2 linked regions of the Caenorhabditis elegans genome follow. The protein of the gene in region 1 purifies or fractionates together with the protein of each later gene. This does not show direct contact. Each region holds a gene or a part of one and is shown in the gene's direction. Other genes may lie near its edges.

The links.
Region 2: the proteins of pag-3 (region 1) and unc-3 purify together in Caenorhabditis elegans (affinity purification with western blotting, with the first as the bait; one study listed by BioGRID). This does not show direct contact.

Annotation. Positions count from the first base shown.
Region 1 is NC_003284.9:14,948,318-14,957,538, reverse strand, and holds pag-3 (Zinc finger protein GFI1 homolog pag-3), read left to right. Parts: upstream 1-2,890; 5' UTR 2,891-3,017; coding exon 3,018-3,099; intron 3,100-3,145; coding exon 3,146-3,256; intron 3,257-3,301; coding exon 3,302-3,436; intron 3,437-3,486; coding exon 3,487-3,584; intron 3,585-3,633; coding exon 3,634-3,701; intron 3,702-3,759; coding exon 3,760-3,881; intron 3,882-5,478; exon of another isoform or gene 5,479-5,628; intron 5,629-5,720; coding exon 5,721-5,812; intron 5,813-5,862; coding exon 5,863-5,959; intron 5,960-6,082; coding exon 6,083-6,188; intron 6,189-6,239; coding exon 6,240-6,339; 3' UTR 6,340-6,787; downstream 6,788-9,221. UniProt on the Caenorhabditis elegans protein: Transcription factor. Plays a role in the determination of neuroblast cell fate and neuronal differentiation.
Region 2 is NC_003284.9:14,769,652-14,777,665, forward strand, and holds the start of unc-3 (Transcription factor unc-3), read left to right. Parts: upstream 1-3,886; 5' UTR 3,887-3,939; coding exon 3,940-4,025; intron 4,026-7,004; coding exon 7,005-7,064; intron 7,065-7,232; coding exon 7,233-7,450; intron 7,451-7,515; coding exon 7,516-7,571; intron 7,572-7,869; coding exon 7,870-8,012; intron 8,013-8,014. Other genes in the region: Y16B4A.2 (Carboxypeptidase), read right to left, coding at 1-201, 248-396, 444-525, 935-1,060, 1,107-1,198, 1,336-1,759, 1,840-1,910, 2,045-2,173. UniProt on the Caenorhabditis elegans protein: Transcription factor. Involved in motor neuron fate determination and maintenance, acting as an activator of gene expression in a subset of motor neurons. May act in concert with GFI1 homolog pag-3 in motor neuron fate determination.

The DNA of each region.
Region 1 (9,221 bases):
CTTACCGAGCAGGTTTTATTTAATTACTGATTTGCAAAAAAAAACTTTCTGCAATTTCCGTTGAATCCCTGAAACGAGTAAGACACACCTAACCGATAACGTCCGAGCACTGCTCCAACCGGACAATTGCTCTGTTATCCTATCCAGGCAGCTAGATTGCGTCATAAAATGGTTGACGATAGGATGCTCACTCTTCCTCTCCTGCATAGCTTTTCCTCCCAATTACGCCTCTCTGAGTCTCTGGAGCTGCCGCCATATGTACCGGGGGACTACGGTAGATATTCCATGCGAGAAGGCAAAAGAAGGCCACTTTTTGCTACTAGTCAGCGTAATATGGAGAGCCGGGGATAGATAAATTTCTGAATTGAAAAATCATAAAAGTGGTGAGATGGTTGGTCAGCCGGCTTCATCTTCTCCATATTTTTCATTTTCATTGCTTTGAGCCAATAGAATCAAAAGTGGAGATGAAGTAGGCAGAATGGGAGGGAATTGAGAGTTTTCAGCGTTCAGGATTCATATTACATACTCAACCTGGCCGCAAGGTGCTTAGCTTAGCGCGCAATCAAAGTAATGAGCAAACAATTGACTTTTGTTTTATTAGTGGGCATTTCCAAATTTGGCGCGGTTTCTGTTCCCTCATGCTTCCTTTCGTTTTGAAGTTTCGTATTCTAGAATCCCAATTTTTCTCACAGCACATTTATGATATTTGATAGTTTCCCAGTTTTCTCAGGTACACTGAATTTCGGATCAGTGTCATCCAAAACCCTGGGTGAGTGTGGTTGGTGGGTGAGAAGAAGAAGAAGGCTATTACCAATTCTGAAAATTCACACGTCTCAAATAGAAGCCAAAACAAATTTCTTGACAAATATCTACGCCCGTGTGTGTGCGCGTCCCAAAACGCGATTCCGAATCCAATCACCTCTCGTCATGCATACCGATTGCAGACGGGAAGCCGCTTGGGAATATACGTGTGTGGGGGGGGGGGGGGGGGAGGGGGATGCCAAAATCGGCACCTACTGCATTTTCGACTTATTAAGGAGCATTTTCAACCGGAGGAAATATTCGTGTACACTTGATCATTAGAAATACAAAATGAGCATTTATAAAACCAACAAACAGTGGACCACAAACATTGAATGTATGGGCTAGCTCTATATGGATTTAGTTTTAAAAATGTTAACATTTTTGTAAAACATCCAAAACTTGACCTAAGATAGCTCCCCAAATGCTCATAAACCTAACTATTTCTTAGACTTTTTTCCATTTTTCACGGACTTCTTCTTTTCTAATTAACCCAACACGAAAAACAATTCCATAAATCAAAAGACCGTATGCATTCAATTCAACACCCATATCGCTATTTTGGCTGGGTGTTGTTCGACACGTCGTTTCCATCACACAGTGAGCCCACCCAACTCAAATTCATGCATTAGGATGACACTCAATTTATTTCAATCTTCTCGCTCTTCCCCCCCCCCCCCTCTTCCTCCATCCCTGGAACCCCCCGCCATCACTGTGGGAAGTCGTTTAAAAATGCATAGCACCGGAGGAGCGATGGAAGGTTGAGTGTGGAGAAAAGAGCTCGGAAATGGGTATACCATTTTGAAGCCAACCCAAAAGATTGAAATGCGATTCGAGAAATTGAAATTCCAATGGATTGTCTTCCCACATGTTGAAGAGTGCGCAAGCTCGCATAGTGCACATGAATACTAATTACGGTACGGGGAATGAATACGAATTAGCAGCAGACACTAGATTTTTGACAGGCACTGCCAAATCCAACTCCAGAAAGTGAATTTATTTACAACTGATCTTGTTAGAATTCTGCAAGTTTTGCAGAAGTTTCTGAGATATTTAAACTACTGTGAAAATACTGTAAAATTTTCACATTGTACGACCTGCTTCAAGTTATCAACTTCTATTATTTCCAACTAAAAGCTCTCTATTTCTTGAAGCTCGAGTTCCTTGTACTAAGAAATCGTGGGATTTTTAGCTCTATGAATTTTCGATGAAACAGTTTTTCGACGTTTCCTCTTTTTTGCAGATTTCCTACTTTCGCATTCTGGCAGTGAGATTCTTGCGCTTCACGCTCTTAAAAATTCCATTAATGTCCCTTACATGCCCTTTGCTGGACAAGAAGAGCAAAGTGTTGCTCACACTCACCAGCGCGCCTCCGATTATGTCACTTTGAGTTCATGCTTGAACTACATCGTAAATCGTATGAGATTATTAAAACAAGCATAATAGATTGAGCATAAAACCTGACCTCAAGGATTCTTTCTGCTCTTTTTCCAACGCTTCTCTTCCCCTTTTTTCGACTCGTCTACAAATATGCTAACCGAGAGCTCGCCGCACACTTTGCCTGCTGGGGCGGGGCGATCCAATAACATGCATCTGAGGGGAAAAATAGGAGGCAGGGCAACATGGTCGAAATGAAGAGGAGGAGGACGGATCAGTGCTGAGATGCATTCAGATTCTTCCACAGTTGGGTTTTTGAATGTAGACCAGCTCGAGTTTCAAATCGTCACAGCTCGGACATCCAAAGCCATCCCCCCATTTACCCTCTGCTTATAGGGATGTGATGCAGTTTGATGTTCATATTTATTATTTATATGCTTATTTTCACACTACGCCGAGCACAAATGACAATGGCTTTGAAAAAAAAAAGAAAGATTCAACTCGTTTTCACTTCCTGCTAACTTTCCAGTTTCAAATCTTTAATCCATTCCAAAGTTCCTAATTGGCCTTGATTTCGTCTTTTTCTAAATCCTCAGAAATCCCTATGGACCCTTGATTTGACGTCTTCATCTTCTTGTTTTCCCATCCGCTGTTCTTGTCTCATTTAATCCAATTCTCTAGAAATCACAAAGATTTTCGTTTCTTTTTTTTCAGTGGCTCAGCGAACAGGGTGCCAAATTCGAATTTCAAGATTTCAAAAATTTTTATTCAAGGCACGCGTTTCCAGAGATTCGTCCTCGTCCTACTCCCTTATTCATTTTTTGTGTGTTGAGACGAAGATGAGCACTGAGCACGTGTCAAATGTCTATTCTGTTGAATCGTTACTCTCGAACGTGGAAAAGTCTAGTGTTTCACCAACAGGTTTGTGCATAAATCTATTTTAATTCAAAAATAACGACATTTTCAGAATCAATTGAAGATAGAAATGAGTTCATGATCACAGAAGATGTGATGAGTTCTTGGCAGAGAATGGCCGCTACCATATCACTACAACAAAAGCTCCTCATGATGCAGCAAAGTATGCTAGAACCTCCGAGTTTCCAACTATCAAGTTTCATTTCAGCAATGCCCCGTCCTCCTCCTGTAAATATTCTTGGAAATTTTCCATTCGGATTTCTCAACGCTCCCATGTTCTGGCAGCAATACCTGAGGAGTATGGCAATGGGTATCATCCCTCAGAACCCTGAATCACCATCAGGTATCAAGCTTTTTGAACATTTATCTATTCACATTAATATGTATTTTAAGCTTCAGTTTGGAATCGAACACCGACACCTCCAGTGGAAATCAAACCGTTTCATTGCCAAAAATGCACAAAATTATTTTCTACCATAGCTGCTCTAGAGGTGAAACCAGTATTTTTAAAATAATTTTCAAAAATTTAAAACTTTTCAGCAACACCAACAAGTACACGTCAGCGATAAGCAATTTGAGTGCAAGCAGTGTGGAAAAACCTTCAAAAGGTATGCACTTTAATTATCATGAAAACATAATTTAAAAAAAAGTAAATTTCAATTTCAGATCTTCCACCTTATCTACACACCTTCTGATTCACTCCGACACAAGGCCGTATCCATGTGAATACTGTGGAAAAAGATTTCATCAGAAGTCGGACATGAAAAAACACACATATATTCATACAGGTATGTTGGTAAAATTGATAGGATATCCTAGATTTATCGATAAAGATAATATTTATAACAGCAAATAATAACGCAATTCTGCTCATAAAGTTAGGTTAAAATTAATTATTCCCAATGAAATACAAAATTTAATAATTACAAACACGCTGAACGTATGTATTTTGCACCCAAACCACTAAATTGCCTATATTGTACATTGTGCTCAAAAACACAAAATCCTCTATGACATGGTCTCGCATTAGGATGTTGAAATTATAAAACTAGCTGTGATGCAGGAGACACTACGGCGTAAAATCGATATAAATTTTGCTTGCAATATGATACATGAGTACTTCAAAAACGTGGGATTTTCTGACAAACCTATTTTTTATATGTATATGTTCGTTTAAGCTTTTGAATAAATATTCAATGTAGCCAGTTTTTAGAAAATAATAAAAAAGGTTTTATGACTTTTCTTTTAATTTTTTTTGAGTTACCATTTTTCCCTACTAGTTTGGCATCACTTATTTCTTTATGTGACAGTTTATCTTAAAAAATATTGATAAGTGTTTCCAGCAAGGTTTCATGCTTTTTATAGAAGATTCAAAGCCCTAGTTCATAAGTTCAATTAACTCAAATTTTGTCTTTGAAGCGAACCACCATATCTTTTTCAATTACAATTTCAACTCGTTTTAAGCAATCATCGTTTATTTTCGCTTAACACGATTCATTGAAAATTCAACTCTGAAAGAAGAGAAATCGTTATTCTGGTTTATTATGAATCGAAAAGTTGTCAGATGCGTGTGCACATGAGCCTCCTCTTCTTTTCTGCGCGCCCTGCTCATCTCTAAGTATGATTGATGAATCAGTATGAAAGAGTCGAGTCATGTCAGTGCCCCTCCTCCCTACCGTTCCGCAACACAAATCAAAATTGAATATTAAATCGCGTTTTTGCTATCCCCCTCCCCCCCATCCTCAACTAACAGACTCCCCGAGAGGCAGTAAACCACAGCGAGGAGCATCGCTGAGCTCAACACAGCTTGAACATTGCAAAATTGCTTCAAATTAAAATTCTGAGGGGAGATGTCAAAGGTTGGAAGTAGGGGGGGGGGGGTAGGGGTAGGGTATTGGATAAGCGCGGAGAGAAAAGATTCTTTGAATGACGTTTGAAAATTAAAAACAAATTAAATCTTGTATGCTGACAAGCAAAGCAATCTACAGAAGTTGACAAGAAAAAGAAGCAATGAAAACTTTGGGATTCCATCTCTAGACGGGGTTTTGCTGTGCAACAGAATAATAACAAAATTTGTATTTTTTTAAGGTTCAATTTGAGACAATTGCTATAAATTAAACGTTGCCTTTGAAAATAAAACATATATTTTTCATGGACGCATTGAAAGTTTGTAGTGAAAAGTAATTCACTTATTTTATAAAATACAAATTCCCCCTAAAACAGGGTTTCAAAAAAAAATTATATTTTGACTGCTGAGTTCTAAATATAGTTTGAAAATTTATTACACAAAATTAAAAAAAAAAGACAAAGGTTGTCCGTTTGGTTCAAGGGTGAGCCGAAGCCTCCTGCGGCCCAGAGATTTATCAGGGTTACTGGTTGCGTTTATATCTCTTCTAGTCTGAATTAAGGCCGTACCGGGACTAGCAGTATGCTCCGATTTACCTTTCGTGAACCAAATTCACTACCCACTTTCCACGCCGGCTGGGTGAGCTTTTGGGGTGTGGTGGGATTGAACTTGCGACCTCTTGGGCGACAGTGCTACACCACTACCACTTAGCCACCCGTGCCCAAAATTTATTACACAAAATAAAATGTCTAATCTAAAACTTCCCATACTTTATTTTCAGGTGAAAAACCACACAAGTGTACTGTATGTGGAAAAGCGTTCAGTCAGTCTTCTAACCTTATCACCCACACACGAAAACACACTGGATTTAAGGTAACAGTTCTCCTTTCCTTATTCTTTAAAAATGAGGTCATTATCTTCAGCCATTTGCCTGTGATGTATGTGGTCGGACGTTCCAACGCAAAGTGGACCGCCGTCGGCACCGCGAGAGTCACCATCCGGGCCACCCCGAAGAATGCGGTTCGTTTTTCACTCAAATTTCAGCCAATCAAGGACACCATTTTCTCGTTGGTTGTTCCTTTTGAAATGCTACAGTACCCCCCTCCCCCCCTTTTTCCATCAAACCAACCGTAACAATTGCAGTGTCTGCTTCTCAAATTTCATCGGATCTCTCCCCGAAAGGATACATGACACCTCCGACGAGCAACGGGTATCTCGACTCTTCCGATGAATTTCTCAACGTGTTTAGGCATGTTCACAAACAAAATTGTGCAATCAAATAAAACTGTGCTTTTTTTAGATTACCCGCCGAGCTGCTCGCGATCAAAGCAGAGATGGGCGAGGAAATGGAGGAAGCTGATGATGAAGAGGAGAAAGTACTGAATTTGAGCGTGTCATAATTTGTGTGAAATTCTTGTATTCAAAGGTAATAAGGACAATGAGAATTGTGCTGGTTACCTTTGGTTTTTTGTATTTAGTAAAAAATTCCTTTCTATCTACTGACATTTTTCCTTACCTCAATTTCATTAACACAGTTCACAAACTCGATGATTGATCTCTTATCCTTAAACAAGCCTCAACATCAATTGTCATCCTTTTTTCAAAACACATACATTATGTACTGATTATTGTTTATATCGCTAATGGTCAGACGTTTTATACATATCTGTTCTTTTTCAGTTCCTTTTCCATAATTTTATGGTATTGCGATGTTACACGCACATATGATGTATTTGCTTTTTTGCTTTATTCAAATTTCCCTTTTTTCAATTAACAGTTGTTTTTTTCTGTCATTTTTGAAATGCTTTCGGTGAGTAGCCTAGCCTTATTAATAAACAATGTTTAATATTGAAACTCGTTTATCAAATTTTATTAACACGCACTCAAGTCAGACCCGATAACTTTAAAATTGCAAGTAAACACGGTTTTTAAAAAATTCAGTACATTTGTAGAGCAAAATTTTTCAATTAAAAAAAATTAATATAGCAAGTAGAAAAAATTTGAATGCAGCTTTATGGTACTTTCAGTTCAAAAGTTTGGCAGTTTACCAAAACTTTGGAACTTATATAATTAGTTTTTAAATATTTGGTAATTTTGGACTATTATGGGTCTGACGAGATTTGTCTGGTTCATCATGCTCTTTCATGCTAGGAGATAATTTTTCGGTTGATGTGTGAAACAGTCACAAAATTTTTGCACCCATTTTTTTTTCAAAAATCATTGAAATTTGTAAGCTATCGGCTTTAAATGTACCTTATTTGGAGATATTGAACAATATAAACTACCAGAATATGCAAAAAGTCAACATCGGACTGATGCGACACAGAAAAGTGGGAAAAATTTCGAGATTCCAGCTAAAATCAGTGCAATTTTGTCGAAATTTTGAACCGCCATAAAAATTTTTCGAAATTTTTTTTTGAGAAGCTTAATCACGAATATCGTTCATTTAAGCTTGTTTTGGGTCTATACATTTCAAATCGTCCGAACTGTTAGTCCTTCTTTAACTGAGAAACAACGCAAAATTAATGCCAAAAAATTTGTTCAATGAAGAATGACTGATTAAATGTCAATTAATAGCCGCTGTAAAAAAATGGTAAAAATTCGAAAAAAGTTCGTTAAGAAGCTGCAACTGAATTTTAAAATAAATTCAAAGACGTATCACATTGGCCACACATTCCCAACTTTCAGGGTACCTCTTGGTACATTTTTTTCAAATTTTCAAATAATATTTTATTTGAGTTGGTTTTTGGGTTCCTGTTTCATTCTGCTACTCATTGATGTACTGATGTACTGATGTTCTCCGAAACTCGTAGCAACAATTTCAAAAATTCTCATTCCCAATAAAGCCACAATGCGGTTACGAAGCCTCGGAAAGCCATGGTTGAAAAAGAAGATTAAAAGGACAGGAAAAGAAAAAGCCAGCGAAATTAGGTCATTTCGTGTGACTTACAAATAGCATAACCTAATCACAAAGCACCTACCAAAAGCCACCGGAATATGGGTGTTGAGGGATTTTCCAACTGATGCAGTGCAAGTAATTAGTTTGGAAATGAGCAAAACCCGCCGAGAAGAAAGACCGAAAGATGCTACGAGGAGTTGTCTTTCGGGGTTTGTGAAATGAGACACAACTTCTTTGCTGGAAGGAATTTGAGAAATAATTTTGTATATTAACTTAAGTCATGTTTGCAGTGATGTTGAGAATTTTATTAATGGTATTTATAAATTACAAAACCTTTTTAAATTGTATATTTGGTAGTAAGTTCACAAATGTTACCAAATTTGAATAACTATTGTAAAAATGCACTTTGATTTAAAAAAACCACTGATAAACTATAATAAACTATAAAACTGTGCAAAGATGGCAGTAATTAAATTGAAAATGATTTGCGGTTTTTGCTGCAAAACTGTTAGTTGTCTTGGAAATTACTATAGCAGGCCGAAGTCAGAGATAAATTCAGGCCAAACATTTGCAAGAAACATCAAGAGTCTGTAACATTGCTTTTGGAGCAATTCTTCAAGCTTCATAAGTAGTGAACAAGAATAAAAAATGAAACGATTATCTAGAAATCTAATGTCAAAATATCACCCTTTCATTATGAATGTTTGAAAAAATCTCCAGATGTGTTTTACATCAGTCATGTACCTAACAAAATAAATGAATATTCAAAAGTTTGAATACGGTTTCAACAGAGATTATTGAAATTTTTAAACTTTTTACATACCATTTCCAGATAATATCGACTACAGAACGTTTGCAATTTTTGTTTTTTTTTGTGGGAATCAAAAGCGCATCGATGACATGATTTATGCAGTTTTTCATGAACAAGTTCAACCATGTTCTTTAGACTGTTGATTGACACTAGACATTTTTATCATGTAAGTGAAAACTATGTACCTATATAAGTGAATTTCTTCAGACTGTGAGAACAACATGTAAGTCATTTTTCCCATATCAGATAGTTATATATTCGGACACCGGTTGTTGAAATTTTTCAATTTTAGGCCTTGTATTATTATGAACACTAACAACTTTCAACTTTTTTTAAAATACATATTTCGTCGCTCTTGTTGAAGAAAATTTATCTTGGTTTTTTACTTGTTACAATAGAACATTCTCACGAAAAACGCGAATGTTTAGGTAAAGTATTTAAGTTACAGTTAGGCCTGTGGAGTGGGTCGCCCCATTTTTTTTTGGGTCGGCCGGGTCGGGGTCGGGGTCGCATCCCCGACCCACTTTTGGTTCGCGGCCCCGACTCACTTTTTGGGTCGGGGTCATGTCCCC
Region 2 (8,014 bases), 180 kb from region 1:
ATGCGATCCTCGGTTGTGTTCAACTTGAGAGCTGCCGCAATTTCTTGTCCAAATCTTTGAGCACCAATAAAGTTGCTCCAGAGATCCAGATCTCCATTGTAGATCATGATTTTCATGTTATTTTGAGCATACTTCTCGGATGTTAGAATTGAGGAAATTCGGATTTGCAAATCCGTTGAGAGTTCTCCGTATGTCAGATTTCTGATCATATTATTGTTAAGTACTACATAGTATGCAAACTGCTCACCTGCAAGTCTGGAAGTTTGTACTTGCATTCACACTAACATGAAGTGCAGCTTGAACATCTTGTCTGTTTAAATAAGCGGCGGTGGCTGAAAGTGCAAAGCATGGATATCCTCTGAATGAGTCCGTTGAGTTGTAGTTATCTACAGCTGCCTGAAAGTTACTTCCTAATGTCAAGCGTTAAGCGTTATGTTCAATACATTAATTCCAAGTTGTTTGAAGGATGTTTGCCATGCAGCTTGGTTTCTGTAGCAGTCTTCGTTGATGTTTGTGTTGTCAATTCTGAAACCAAATTGATACAGAATGTTCAAGTATGGAAATGACTAAAAGCTTGAACATGTGTTCAAATAGATGGTCAGTAAATTTATAGAATCAATTGTATCAAAAGTTCATTTCTAAAAATCAAAAGTTCATTTCTAGTTGTAGCTGTGTGATCAAGTAAATCGATAATATCAAACTAAAGGCTAAAATGAATTTAATTTACATTGATTTCAGAACACCCCCTTCTTGTAAGTACTATCTTATTGGCTCTAAAATTTTAAATTGTTGCGTTGTTGCAATCTGGTCTTTGTTCTCTAATATTTTGTGACCATAGCACTTTCCCCTCATTTTGATGACTTTCCATTCCCAATTTCACAAGTGATAAAATCAAGTGTGCATTCCAAATTAAAAACGATCAAAAACCACGTACTGATAATTTGACCAAGTGGCAATTGCGTTGTCAGCTTTGGTTCTGCATGCTGTGTTACTGTTGAAAAAATCGCAAGTTTGGGTGGAAGCATTTGTGCAACAAACTGATTTGAGATCGTCATATTGTCTGAAAATAAATTCAAAATGATAAATGATAGAAAAATAGGTCCAACTTTGATCCGGCAAATCCATGAGTGTAGTAGAATGGGATGAGACTGTTGTATTGGAGGCGAGCACTCAAGTCACCATTTGCAAGAAGAAGTCCCTGAATTTTTCAAAAATTTCATTTTTAAAATTTCCCAGCAAACTTCAGAATTGAACTATGATAAGAATAAATAGAAACTCATAAAATTTGTTTTAATGTATCTGATAGTGTTGCAACAACTTTTGTAGATAACTCACTCGAATATTAACTGGAGAGGTAACAATGTCCGGTCTTGGAGTGTTATTCACCATCAGAGATTCTACCAACGACGAAGCAAAGAAAGATCCGTATCCTTCACCAGCAATGTAGAGATCAGAGTTTAGCATATTTGGATACACCGTATAGAAATCCATGAGAGCGTTAAGAAGAGCACCAGTTACGTAGCTGTCGTCTTGAAAGAGATTTTGTTGCCATGAGAAGCCGGCGCCCGGACCGTCGATGGCAAGCAAATTGGACACCTTGTTCCAAGCAAACACATTTTCATACACCGTCTGACTATCACTAGACACATGGAATGGGCCGATTTCCTGGATCTGCCCGAAAACTGAACTACATCCCGGACCTCCATTAATCCAAAGAAGGAGCGTATCATTGGAAGGGGTCAGTTGAGATTCGATTAACCTGAAATTGTTTTATTTTGTTTGGTAGTCAAGGTTCAGTATCCAGATAATAAAATGTTTAGATTAATATCTTGAACTTACCAATAGTGAAGATTGTTGTAGTTTTTGTTGGGATCAGAGTTGAGGTAACCCGCATACTGTTTGAAGTTCACCTAAAAGGTAATGTGTTTAATCAACCTGCGAACTTTTTTAGTTGTTTAAATTTTACCTAAAAACACAGAAATTTGGAATAAAATAATTCTGCATACATATTTTCAAAAAACAAAAATATAAAATGTATTATTACCTGAAAAATAGTCCCTGGCAGTTGATTAACCAAATCGGCCTGGGCTCTCGTGGTCGGCGTGGTTTGTCCATTCCGCAACGGCGCTAATAGTAGTAACAAACAAAGGAGTAAAATTTGATGCGCCGCCATTCGTATTGCACAAATGATGATGGCAATCACTATCAGTGCCCGAGCATCGCTTTTATAGAATAATGAAAGGAAATTTTACAAGCACACAGTTCAGTCGTTTCAGCGTTTCAGTCGTAAAATTTTGTTTCGTGAGCGTTGATATGTAAAGTGAGTTGACATTGTGAAATAAGTGCTGGATGGTACAAGACGTTCCGATGTCGAAAAATAGAAGGACGAGAAAAAAAAAACAACGCTGTCGTAAACCTGCTCTTTAAGTTTAGTCTGCCGATTGAAGCTGTGTATTAAAATATTTCTGTCAAGCATTTTTAAAAGGGAAGAATTAATTTCCCCACCATTATCAGAAAAAATTTCAAATGAATGCAACAAATCTAAAGCTATGTTATTGTATTTAATATTTGTATTACAAACTGCAAATACTGGAAAACTGTACAAACACGTGGTGTCAGAGTGTCTTATTTCGGTTTGATCTGCGTAGATCTACAAAAAATGCGGGAGAAGAGACGCAGAGTTCTCAACTGATTTCTCATGGTTAAAAATGTGCTGACGTCACATTTTTTTTTGGGAGAAAAATTCCCGCATTTTTTGTAGATCAAACCGTGATGGGACAGCCTGGCACCACGTGCATAAACAATATTCTTTATACAAACGGGGTGGTTCATAATTATGGGGTCCAGTTTACAACAGTGCAACTTTTTTTTGAAGTTGGAACAACACAACTGAATACCTACTTTAATTGCAGAAAAACCTTATGCATTCAAGTGGCTACAAGACCTCGCGTTCCGAAACTACAAATAAAATAAAACCCAATATAACACAACTTATATAATAATATTTCAGCTTCAATTCAACACCATGATAAATATTTTTGATAATTCCAGCATCCCTGAAAACGAACTTTGCGCACTCACTCACACCTGGAAACATCTTAGCAACTACGGTAGATCTGAAACATCGTTGCTTTAGTGAAAAGAAAAATACCGACTTGAGAACAATATTCTGTGTATATAAATGTTTTATCAAAGCAATTGTGATAACTTCGCCAAGTTGATAACTATGAGCAATATTACACTTCACTTGCACGACTTCAAATGCTGGCTCCTGGCTTGTTCCTAAAAGAAGATGGTCACAAATAGCCAAACACTCTACATTCTTGATTCCAGATACCGTAATCTGCAATAGGACACACGAATCTCCATCAATTTTCTTCGCTATCCTCTCATCCTCTCCCATCTCTTTATTTTTTTGTGCTTCTTCCGTTTTTTTTGTGTTGCCTTCTTCAGTGTTGTCTGTCTGACCTCTCACGTCTCAATTGTTGAAGATTGTGAAGAAGTATGCACAAAAGAGGACCAAGGCGTGGTATGCTATGCTTTCTAGGATGATTGATGAAATCCTTCACTTGACTTTTCTGTGTGTCATACAACTATTTTCTGTAATATTTTTGGTGAGCCACCACACCAGGCTTGAACGTGAAAGGGGTGCGAACAATCTTCCCCCAGCTGCCCCCCCATTTTTTTGCTGTAGAGATTTTCAAAGTTTCGCGCCGTGCCTTCCGGCTAATCAGGCATATCTCCATAACCATAATTCACAGTCAGCTGGCTCAATCCTCACACTCGCTCCGTTATTCCTCTCCTTGTTGCATCTATCAGGCGTACTTGGACGGGAGGCCGTCGGACCCAAACCGCTTGTGACATATAAGAGATTAATCTTTTGCAGAGTCGGTTGTGTAGCTGGTGTTGTTGCCTCCCACTTGATCCGAAAACTGTGGCATGAGTTTGACAGCTCCGCTAAGAGCTGGCCAGATGAACTTCTATGATGAACCTTATAATCCTGTATTAAATCTTCACATTCAACCGTAAGTTGTTTTACATGGCTTTTTAGGCTGCCTTGAAAAACTTGATGCTGGAAAATTGAGCAGAATCTTAATAAATAAATAAAGAGAATCTGGTATGGGAGCTGTACTGATCTGAGGCTCCGGAATACTGGAAGTTGTTAAAATAAAATTTATTTATTTTTGGGTTTGATACCGTTCAGACGTAACTCCTTAATTAAATTTGTCTTAGTAAAAGTCGAAGAGGTTCTACTAGAAGTTAATTCAAATTTATTACGTTTGGTACACAATTTCAAAAACAAGTCCATAATTATGGACCACCCTGTAGGATTAGGTGTTTGTGTATTATATGCCATCATATCTAGGTTATTCATTAATAACCATTACAAAGAAATTTGTTCAATTTTTGAGCTTAGGTTAATATTATTTCCAAGCATACTTCATACTAAACATATCATTCAATGGGTTAAATAATCTGGAAATTATAATATACAACTACATAGATATACAACTATTTCTTAACTAGGAATGAGCCCCCTAAATCACAAAAATACACCTTGTAAGCATCTTTTCTAAACCTGTCTATTTTCTAAAAACATTTTGATACCATATTCCTGAATACCAAAATGTGTATCTTTAAGGTGATTCATACCTCATTATTATGTTTGAAAGCCTCCTCATTCTCAATGCACTATTGGCTAAAGTTTTAGTCATTCTAACGAATCTATGACAATAGCTGTATACTAGCTATCACAAGCTAAATATCTCTTCGCTCATAATATTTTCCGTCTATCCTCAAACTCAACAGTTGTATATTCTCTTTTGACTTTGCTTCAATTAGCCGTACTCGGGCTCGTTGCCTAACAACCCACCCTCGGAATTGATAGCCACTATCATCCTTCTTTTTTGTCCATAACAGCCACTCTTATTAGTATTGCTTGGTGAGCGTTAATATTATTATCTGATGAATACTCAAACCTTGGAATCCTTGCTTTTCAGCAATTCTGGTGTCTTTGCGGACCTTCAAAGGTAAGATAGAACTTCTAGGACGACACTTTTGAAATAGAAGAGACCCAACTCCTTTTTTTTTGATGACGTTAGCGGGATTTCATTCCCAAAGGGGAAATTGTAAGGTGTTCATGGCTTGCGATACATTCTTGAGCTTTATTGGCGATGAGTTTAGTAAGTCTAGAATTATGTTTGAAACACTTAAATTAACAATTAACTTAGTAAGTATAACGTCATTTCTATAGCGTCATACGTTGTTATGATTCAGGTGCTGATGTTGAAGATGAACTTTTAGAAATAATTCAAAAAGTACATCATCTTGTTGTTCCCAAACGTTTTTGTAATCCATATTTCTTTCATTTTTCTGCTTGGATTTGAGCATTTTGTTTTTACATAAATTTCTCAATTCCTTCCGAATCTAGAATCCCGTACATGGTGAATGATGAGATTTGGGCTATTGAGATGTTACAAATTGCGTAGATGGCTACAAACTGATAACTGGAAACAAGTGGACAGAGAGAGGCCATCTCCGTTTCGCGCGTTTCGGTTATATATCTCTTATTGCTAGTCCAGAAATATTTGCATATTTCGAAAACGGGGCAGAGCACTCACAAACCCACACACAAACACACATACCAGTTATACGAGTTCGCAGCTGTCTTGTCGGATTTCAAACCATTTACATATATGACAGAGTGAAGTGAGGAGCCCACGAGCACACCACATATCACCATGTTTGGGAAAGATAGTAGAATGCTTCACTTTTTGTGTTGAGTTTTTTTTTTCTGAAATGGGTGAAGGCGTAGGAGCAAAGGAGCAAAGACAAGGAATCGTCTTCTGAACATTTATACAACAAATATTACAATTTCCAATAATCAATTATTAAACATAACATGAAGTCTGTTTCATTTCATTAAAGAGATAATTGCATTTTATGTTAGCTACTCGAAAAGTAGATTTTATTAATTGTTATGTTCGTAAAAATGTTCGTTCAAAACATTTATCAAAAACTCAGAAAATAACATTACTGTCTAGATCACGAAATCTAAAGGGAATTGAAATATAAAAATTTTTCATAATAGCAGCTATACAATAACAAAATAGCATTATCCCAAAAAATATTTTTAAGGGTTTTTTTTAGGAATTTCAGATAACCCATTTTCGTTTTAAATTAAATTAAAAAATTAAACCCATTTTCGTAATGAGATTTTTTGTACACTTTTTGAAAATGTTTCATGGCGGATCTGAACTTTGAAAACAATATTTCGTTTGCATATCGAATTATAATTTTTAGGCCTAAAAATAAAAATAGTACAGGGTTGGTCATTATCAAATTTTACACAAGTATCAAAATATGGTTAAGATGTTTTTTCTAAAATAAATTACAGTTTTATTACGGAACGAAAATACATTCAATAAGCATATATATATATATATATATATATATATATATATATATATATATATATATATTTGATTTTTGGGAACCTCTTAGCCAAGATTACGTAACAGAACAAAATATTTACTATGTTCATAAAACATGAAAAATATATAATTTTCATCTGCTTAAAAAAAAAAGTCGGTAGCGTTTTAAATGAGATCGCAATGGGAGAAGCACGAGAAATAATTATCTTTCGAGCCCAACTTCACCGAGTTGAAAAATTGAAGCACCCCCTAGTTCATCACATGTTTTTGGCTGGGTTTTCTCCCCGCCAAACCAAAACTTTGTCTATGCTTTTATCTGTGCTTCATCGTTACTCCAACATCAGTAAAGCCGGAGCCGCAGTCAAATCGGCCCGTCGCCAGATTCCTTTTTAGCTACTCTCCCCTCAATGTTTTTCCTACTGTGTGCCCACCCATTGGCCCCTAGTGCGCAGTAGGCGGAGCTTGCGAAGCTCTGCCGAGCACGCTTGTGGATCTGTGTCTAATGAGGCCGGTTCCCGAGGGGCCGCTGGCTGTGCAAATGTTCTTTCCTGACTCGAATACCTTACTCAGGTCTGTAAAAGATGAGAACCAGCGGAGCACGTGGCCAATCATCGACACGTCGAATACAAGGTTAGTTTTTAATTTTCTTATTTTTGATCCCTGGTGAAATATTCATTTCTCCAGAAACAATACTGAAAATTTATATATTTTTTGTATTTTTAATTGAAATAATTCTATTTAACAAATTAAATTGTAAACAACATTTCAAAACTTTTTATTCAAAATTTTTATCTTCAGCACTCAAATCGCACGAGCTCATTTCGAAAAGCACCCACCAAACAATCTCCGTAAATCCAACTTCTTTCACTTTGTCATTGCACTGTACGACCGTAACAGCCAGCCGATTGAAGTCGAGCGGACTCAGTTTGCAGGATTTGTTGAAAAAGAGAAAGAAGTTGACGGTCAGGATACCAGAAATGGGATACACTATCGTCTGTCTCTAATGTTTCAGAATGGTGAGTTGTTGGAATCTAAGAAAATCTAACTAATGGGAAAAATTGCAAACCTTTTTTTCTTTCAGGAATCCGCAGTGAGCATGATCTGTTTGTTCGGCTCATCGATAGTTCCACTAAACAGGTATATTTTTTTTGCTAGATAATTTTTTAGATCTATAACACATTCCACATACACATATAAAATGCGCCTAATTCCCTTACCAATATTTTCTCAATTTTGCCTACTGTAAGCCCGTTTATGTATAAGCATTCATCGAAGCTTCTTTCACATTCATCATTTTTATCTGGCACGGACAGAAAAAAAGGCAAGCTCTGTCTGAAGCATCGCCAAGTTTATCGGCGCGCGAGCACAAAAACGCGCGAAATGAGCATAGGCACCAAACACACAACACCATTAAAGTCATCACATCAAATTCTAGGCTATCACATACGAAGGACAAGATAAAAATCCGGAGATGTGCCGAGTGCTTCTCACACACGAAGTCATGTGCAGTCGGTGCTGCGAGAAAAAGAGTTGTGGAAATCGAAACGAGACACCCAGCGATCCAGTTATTATTGACAGGT